2 linked regions of the Danio rerio genome follow. The protein of the gene in region 1 interacts with the protein of each later gene in a biochemical or structural test. Links are inferred from orthologs where the notes say so. Each region holds a gene or a part of one and is shown on either strand. Other genes may lie near its edges.

What was found.
Region 2: the proteins of pkp4 (region 1) and pdzd2 form a complex in vitro, tested with the Homo sapiens proteins (2 studies listed by BioGRID and IntAct, with this or other methods). The link is inferred for Danio rerio from reciprocal best matches to the Homo sapiens genes PKP4 and PDZD2.

The regions. Positions count from the first base shown.
Region 1 is NC_133181.1:13,210,754-13,214,586, reverse strand, and holds part of pkp4 (plakophilin-4), read left to right. Parts: intron 1-283; coding exon 284-480; exon of another isoform or gene 481-986; coding exon of another isoform or gene 987-1,022; intron 1,023-3,833. UniProt on the Homo sapiens protein: Plays a role as a regulator of Rho activity during cytokinesis. May play a role in junctional plaques.
Region 2 is NC_133180.1:41,881,534-41,885,366, reverse strand, and holds part of pdzd2 (PDZ domain-containing protein 2), read left to right. Parts: intron 1-1,348; coding exon 1,349-1,481; intron 1,482-3,833.

The sequences.
Region 1 (3,833 bases):
CTGCAGCTGCTCAAGAATGATCACTCGCAAATATTGCTGATACTACAGTAAAACAAGTATCACAACATGTTAGGTTTAACGTAGACTTGGTATCAAAGTGTGTGTATTCTCATTTGCTTTTACAGCCTGCGCGATGAGGCGTTATTTGCTGTATAATCGAACACAGGCCACGGATTCAATTGATGGAGCTTTAACCCAGCAATCCATAGTTCAAATGTTTTACCATTCCTGAACTGAAAAATCAGTTGCCTGTCTCAGTGTTTTGTTGTTCTCGCTTGCTCAGGGTCTGCTGCAAACTCGCGCAGCTCGACTCAGATGAATTCCTACTCAGATAGCGGATATCAGGAGGTGAGCGGTTACTACAGTAACACGGTGACGCCCAGGCGGTCTGAAGGGAGGTCACAGTCGACCAGCTCCGCCCCCAGCGGAAGCCCCACCCTCGCCATGAGCTCCAGGGCTGAAGGACAGGCCTCTGCACAGGTATGAAAACTCACTCAAACACCACTATATTAACGTTTCCTGGCGTGTTTGTTTTTTTCAGGGATCATTAGCACTGAATAATATATGTCCATTGTTATGAGCGATGTAGAATTGTATTCCGACTTGAGTTTTTCTGATGTACGTGACTCGCAAAGTTGTCTTGAACAGTCACTAAACAAACTGCAAAATCCTGCTTTTCAAATACTTCTCATCCACGGATTTCTTCCGACAGCCCGGGAGGATAAAGCGGCGCCCTCTAGCGAGTGTGCGCGTGGGACACTCCTGTATTTCAGAGAGGGTCTGAGATTTACTCGCTGAGCCGCTATTAAACGCGATATAATAATAATAATAATATGGAAAGATGTTATGAAACTGCCATTCTAACAGCAAAGTCTGAGCTTTAAGTACAGAAATAGGATGAGGCGTGGTATGTTTGGTGAAGCGCGGCGCAGTGTGTGTCTATATGCGGGGATCCGGTGTTTTCAGAGCGGATTTGGTCACAGCAAATGCTGCTCCATATGTACTCCTTCTCTGCAAACGCTGTGAGTTTGGGTCGCTTATAAAGTACAGTACAAACTACTTGGTTTGAAACGTAACGTTGTAACTATGTCAAATTTGTTATGAGAGTAGTTTTATCGAGAAGCATTAAGCACTTCCTGCTTTCCTCCAAAATAAAAGCTCAGTGTTAACTTTTGAAAGCAATAAGACGTGTAGAAAGCCATTCTTGTTATCATACCAAAACAATGCTTTGCCAAGAGATTTTACAAGAAGGTTTTAATATGCTTGCTGATGGTTTGTTATGTTTGGTTTATGGTGTGACAGACTAAAACTGTAACATTAAAGGGATAGTTCACCCAAAATCAAAAATTGACCCACTATTTACTAGCCCTCAGTTGGTTACAAACCTTTGAGTTTCTTTCTTCTGTGGAACACAGAAGATATTTTTTAAGAAAGCTGAAAACCTGCAACCATTGACATCCATTGTTGACAAAAAATAAATACTCTTGTAGCCAATGGTTACCGGTTTCCAACATTCTGCAAAATATCTTCTTTTGTATTCAAAATTGTCACAAGATTTTTTGGAACAAGTGGATAGTGTGTAAATAATGACAGAATGTTCGTTTTTGGTTGAACTATCCCTTTAATTTCACTATGAAAATAAATTAATTTGGCGTTTCTGTGTGGAATTTTCATGTTCTCCCTGCGTTCGCATGGGTTTCCCCCACAGTCCAAAGACCATGTGGTATAGGTGAATTAGGTAGGCTAAATTATCCGTAGTGTATGAGTGTGAATAAGTGTGTATGGATGTTTTCCAGAGATGGGTTGCAGCTGGAAGGGCATTCGCTGCTTAAATCATGTGCTGGATAAGCTGGTGGTTCATTCCGCTGTGGTGACCCCGGATTAATAAAAGAACTAAGCCGAAAATAAAATAAATGAATAAATTACTAAAAAAATTATTTGTTTCAGTTAGTTGTCAATATAATATTTATAGTTTTTTTTATTTGAACTTTGTTCAACCCTAACTAAAAAATAAAATTTCTTTCTCCTGATATAAAAAAAAATTCACTAAAACTCATTTTGTTGACATTATATAATATATAAGCTGAGGCCTGTCACAATAATCATTATATCGACTTTATTGCGCAATACTTGAATATCACCTCAATAATTATTGTCATTGCAATATATTTTTACAAATTCACAAATAATGTTAAAGCCATTTTACTATTACGTTTACGTTCTACCTTGCCAGTGTCAACATTTATAACTGGACATTTACCTTATAAGACATTTAATAGTATATATAATAGGACCTTAACCTTTTTAACATCAAATTCATTATCTTTTCAGCTTTGTATCTTTCTTAATCTGCGGGTGCCACAGCGGTATGAACCGCCAACTTATTCAGCATATGTTTTTTTACGCAGCGGATGCCCATCCAGCTGCAACTCATCACTAGGAAATAACGTCAAATTTTACAATCTAAATAACGTTAAGAATGATAAGTGTTTTAAAGTGTTTATGACTATATGCATTATTATATAGTCATTATACAATCATTGGCATAAAATGATCTCAACATGACAATAATATCGCTTATAGCAACAATTCCTGGGACAATATATTGCACAACAAAAATTCCTTATGACAGGTCTATCTATATAAGGCAACTTAAACTTACAGTAAGCTATATGTTTGTTTGACATTTATTAATCTTAGTTAACATTATTAAAGATGAAATTGCTTTAATTCACAATGCATTAGCCAAAATATTTATCTTTATTTTAATAATATATTGCAGAAGGCTTTTTATGAAGTCACTTAAAGACCTGTTTAAGTAAAGCATTGCCAGAAAATATCTGTATTATGGAAAATGTAATGGGATACACGTTTTGTTTGTTTTATTGTATTTATTATTTGTATTGTTCTGAATAGTGTTTGCATTGAAGTTGACTTGGCATTAAACAAAAGATCCAGTTTAATGTATTAGTAAATGCTGAAAAAATATGAACTAAAATGAGTAAGTGCTGTGGAAGTATTTTTTTATGCTTTTCACATTTAAATCAATAAAAACTATTTAAATGAACAGAAATATTTAAATAGCACAACAAAAATAAAAACAAATAAAACCTACAATAGTATCTCGGTTATACTAAAATAAAGCTTAAAAATCACTGAGTTGTCATTCATCTTATTGGCCCGGTATTAAGATTTAAATGAGTGTTATAAGTTTAAAGGGCCATTAAACTCTCCCTGTCTCAGCAGGGTGTTTTCACACCTAGTTTGAAAAAAATTAGGAAAGTGGGTGACTCCAGCTCTATTTAGGTGGGAGTGTCGAGTGGCAAAAGAGGGAAGGGTTTGCATAAAAATGGAAGTTTTCAGTTTGAGCAAGTGCTGATTTTTAAAACAACACACAGACGCAGGAGAGAAAGACAGTGACTGTTTACATGGACACCAGTAATCAAATTATTTGCCACATTCTTAATTTGTTGACTTTTACTGCAGTTTGACATTCAGGAACATTTCATGCATGCCCCCTGCGAAAAATGAGATGTTGGATGCAAGGAACTGCTGGAAGAATGTAGTTTTAATGGGATGTTTGATACCGCACGGCAAATGGGAGAAAAAAAACTTTCCGCATTTCTCGGTAACTTAGATGCACTCTGTAGGTAGCGTTAGAAATCTGTATGTGTATAGACTATCCTGTCACAAGATGCGGCGAAAATTCTACATGATGGAAATAGTTTGATTAAAGTGTTTACATGTTTACACTCAGAGAGCAGCAATTACAGTCTATGTTTCAGCCCATATTATTGTAGTGATATTACCGTACTGTAAACTTAGGGTGCTTT
Region 2 (3,833 bases), on another chromosome or scaffold:
GTAATCATACCTTTGTCCCATAAAAAATAGACAAACAAAAAAAGTTTCGTAATTTAATGACCTTAAGTCCGTTAATCAATGTGAGTTTTAATTATATTGCTGTTGTAGGCTGTAATTGCGTTTGAAATTATATAATAATTTGTAGAAGTGATATGAAACTCTAATGGTTTCTATTTTTTCTACTATAAAATTGCATTTAGCTTGCCTGTTTAAGGAATAATTAATGACAAGCTGTTGAATTATTCTAAAATAATGCACCCTCAGCTTGATAATATTCCTTTGTGTGGAGTAGATTTATTCTAAAATAATGGTCCCTCAAATTGCTAATATTCATTTACCCATTACCTTGGGTTTAATTCAGTGAACTCAAGTCAGTTAATCAATGTGGGTTTTGAATCTCTTGCTGTTATGGGCTGTAATGACTATAATAATTTGGAGAAGTGATATGAAACTAATACTTTCAAAATCAGTCTTCTTTAGCAGTGCAATTCCTGAAAAATAAACACCGTAGAAGGTGTATAATCCAACCAGAATCAGGCATTCAGCAGCCCCAAGCTATAAATGTACAGTGCACTGCATGAATGAGTACATCCAATTTGAAAAATAAGATTTTCATCCATTTCTCATTGAACATCGGAAATATATGTTGGTGCGTTTAAACAAAACAGATTCAATAAACAGTTATATTGATTAAAATAAGAGTGTTATTACCAAACATCTTATACAAACATCTTACATAAATGTTATATTTTTTTGGCTCTCTTTAATTTTCCTATTAGGATTTAATCTAATATTATTCCCTAACACATTCATTGTTGTGTACATCCTTTTTCTCTGTGATATTGTTATTTTGCCAAACTAGTTTTGGCTTTGGTACTAACTCATCTAATGTTTAAACACATTTTGGTGACTGTTGCTTTAAATTTAAATGAGATTGTGCTGTTCTCAAAAAAGGGCGGAGCTACAAATGCCTGTGTATAAGCATAATGGCGGATACAAAATGACTAACATTCTTAGCCAATGAGGGAGAGATTGTCACTAATGGGCGGGGCTTTCTCCCTCTGATGACACGTACAAAGGGGGAAAGTAATTCAAAGTGTTTCTGTTTTTATCAAGAGTGATTATAAAAAATAAAATAAATAATTTTTTACTATGAGAAGCTGCTCAAATTCACACACTGTTGCAACACAACTATGTTAAGCCAGCCCCTTATAAAAGTGATTTTTGCATAATAGCTCCCTTTTGAAAGAGAGATATTTAGGTTTTGTACTCTTTTATGAAGGAGACTGTTTATATTTTTGATCAAATCTTTGATTAAAGTGACTAATCAGTGTATGTTATGCATTAGCCGAGGAGACCAGCTTCTAGAAGTGGATTCTGTGAGCCTGAGACACGCGGCATTAAGTGAAGCCTATGCCATCCTGAGTGAATGTGGACCAGGCCCGGTCAGCCTTATCATCAGCCGCCATCCAAACCCTAAAGTAAGAGCCAAACACAGACACTATGGCATCTCCTCAAAAAATGACTGCATATACAATCTTACTCAGATTAACAAGCTTGCAAACTTACCCTAATTAATAGTCTTGTTCAAAGGGTACAGATTCTTTAGGGTCAAATGAAGTAAATATTTGATGCCCATAGAAAATATTAATAAAGCAACACAAACGCCCTCTAGTTTCTGAACTTGTTTTCATTTATGAATAAATAGACCGCATCTATGAGTGTGGTGATGTGGTCACACTCTTGCAGTCACAAGGGCCCTTCCTCTGACAGACTGCTGCAAGTGGAAATAAAAAAAAATAACCATCCACCTGTTAAGCTGTAATTTGCTCCTAGCATGAATCATTGAAGCCCGACAAAAAAGTAAACAACATTCCTCTCCCCCTTCTGCTCGAGCAACTTGGTTTCCATCCACCTAGTGATTCAAGATGTTGAGAAATGTGCACCAGGGTGGGGTACAGCGGGAGGTTTTGGTGGTTAGAATATGCTGACTGTTCACTTGGCCTGAGAAATGAGAGCCTGCACTAATGTGAGCAGAACGATGTTAGGACTAGCCTCACACTTAGCATGTGACATGAGAATGTTAGTCTTTCACACTGAGGTACTGACCGTATGTCTACTTATACAGTTGAGGGAAAAATTATTATCCCTCCTGTGAAATTTGAATTCCTTTTCAAACATTTCACAAGTGTTGTTTAATAGAGCAAGGAGGGTTTCACTGTGTTTCCTATGATATTTTTTGCCTTATTAACCTAAATCGCTTATACACTCAGCGACCACTATATTGGGTACATTTATAATATCTATCTATTATATCTATTTATAATGTGTATAATGAAATACTGGTCTGAGTATTTCAGAAACTGCTTATCTACTGAGATTTTTACGCACAGCCATCTCTAGGGTTTACAGAGAATATTTGGAAAAAGAGAAAACATCCAGTGAGCAGCAGTTCTGTGGGCGCAAATGCCTTGTTGATGCCAGAGATCAGAGGAGAATGGCCAGACTGGTTCAAGCTGATAGTAAGGCAACAGTACCTCAAATAACCACTCGCTACAGCTGAGGTATGCAGAAGAGCATCTCTGAACACACAACATGTTGAACCTTGAGGCAGATGGGCTACAGCAGCAGAAGATCACACTGGGTGCCATTCCTGTCAGCTAAGAACAGGAAACTGAGGCTCCAATTCGCACAGGGTCACCAAGATTGGACAATAGAAGATTGGAAAAACGTTGCCTGGTCTGATGAGTCTTGATTTGTGCTGCCATATTCAGATAGTAGGGTCAGAATCTTGTTTCAACAACATGAAAGCATGGATCCATCCTGTCTTGTATCAACAAGTGGTGGTGGTTTAATGGTGTGGGGGATATTTTTTGGCATAGGACTTGGTGTCTATCCCTTTATGACCACAGTGTACCAATCTTTTGATGGCTACTTCCAGCAAGATAACGCGCCATGTCATAAAGCGCAAATCATCTCAGACTGGTTTCTTGAATATGACTATGAGTTCACTGTACTCAAATGGCCTCAACAGTCACCAGATCTTCATCTAATAGAGCACCTTTGAGATGTGATGGAACAGGGGATTTGCATCATGAATGTGCAGCTGAGAATCTGCAGCAACTGTGTGATGCTATAGTTCGATAAAAAATACAGACTGTGGAATGTGTTTTTAACAGAAATATACTGTAATCTGAATTTATGAATGTAAAATGTTAAAAACAGCAGATTACTGGCAACCACAGCTGCCGGTATTTTTCCGTAAAATTAAAAAAGGAAAAACGTTTTTTGTGTCACCATTGTGGAGGATAGTAGTGTCTGTGTTCAAGTCCAAGATGAACTGAGGGTATTTGATGTTATGCTGCATCTTCTTTTGTTTAAAGGTAACTGTGTAGTTACTAATGCAGTGAAAATCTGTTCGTTAATTGCAATCACACATGAACACATCATTGCATCTAATGACTTTACATTTTTGTGCACTAAGCTATGATTTTGTAAACTGAACATTGCATCAGTTCATGAAATACGGTTATTTTCCACAAATTAATACATTTCTATAAAACTTCCATATTTTTCACCGAAAAACTCTGGCAACCACAGCTGGTGGTTTTTTTTTTTTTTTTGTAAATTGAACCGATATTTTGCACTATAAGAGTTTGCTACTTAACACTCTCTCAGTGTTGATGATGATAACACTTTTATAGTGGTTCCCATATAAACTCTGAGGGAGTGTTAATTTTAACTCTAAGGTAGTTAAATCTACCATCTAAAATTTGCAGTCTATCTCGTCAATATGGAGCAAAATCTGTAAGAAATATTTCCAGTACCTTGTT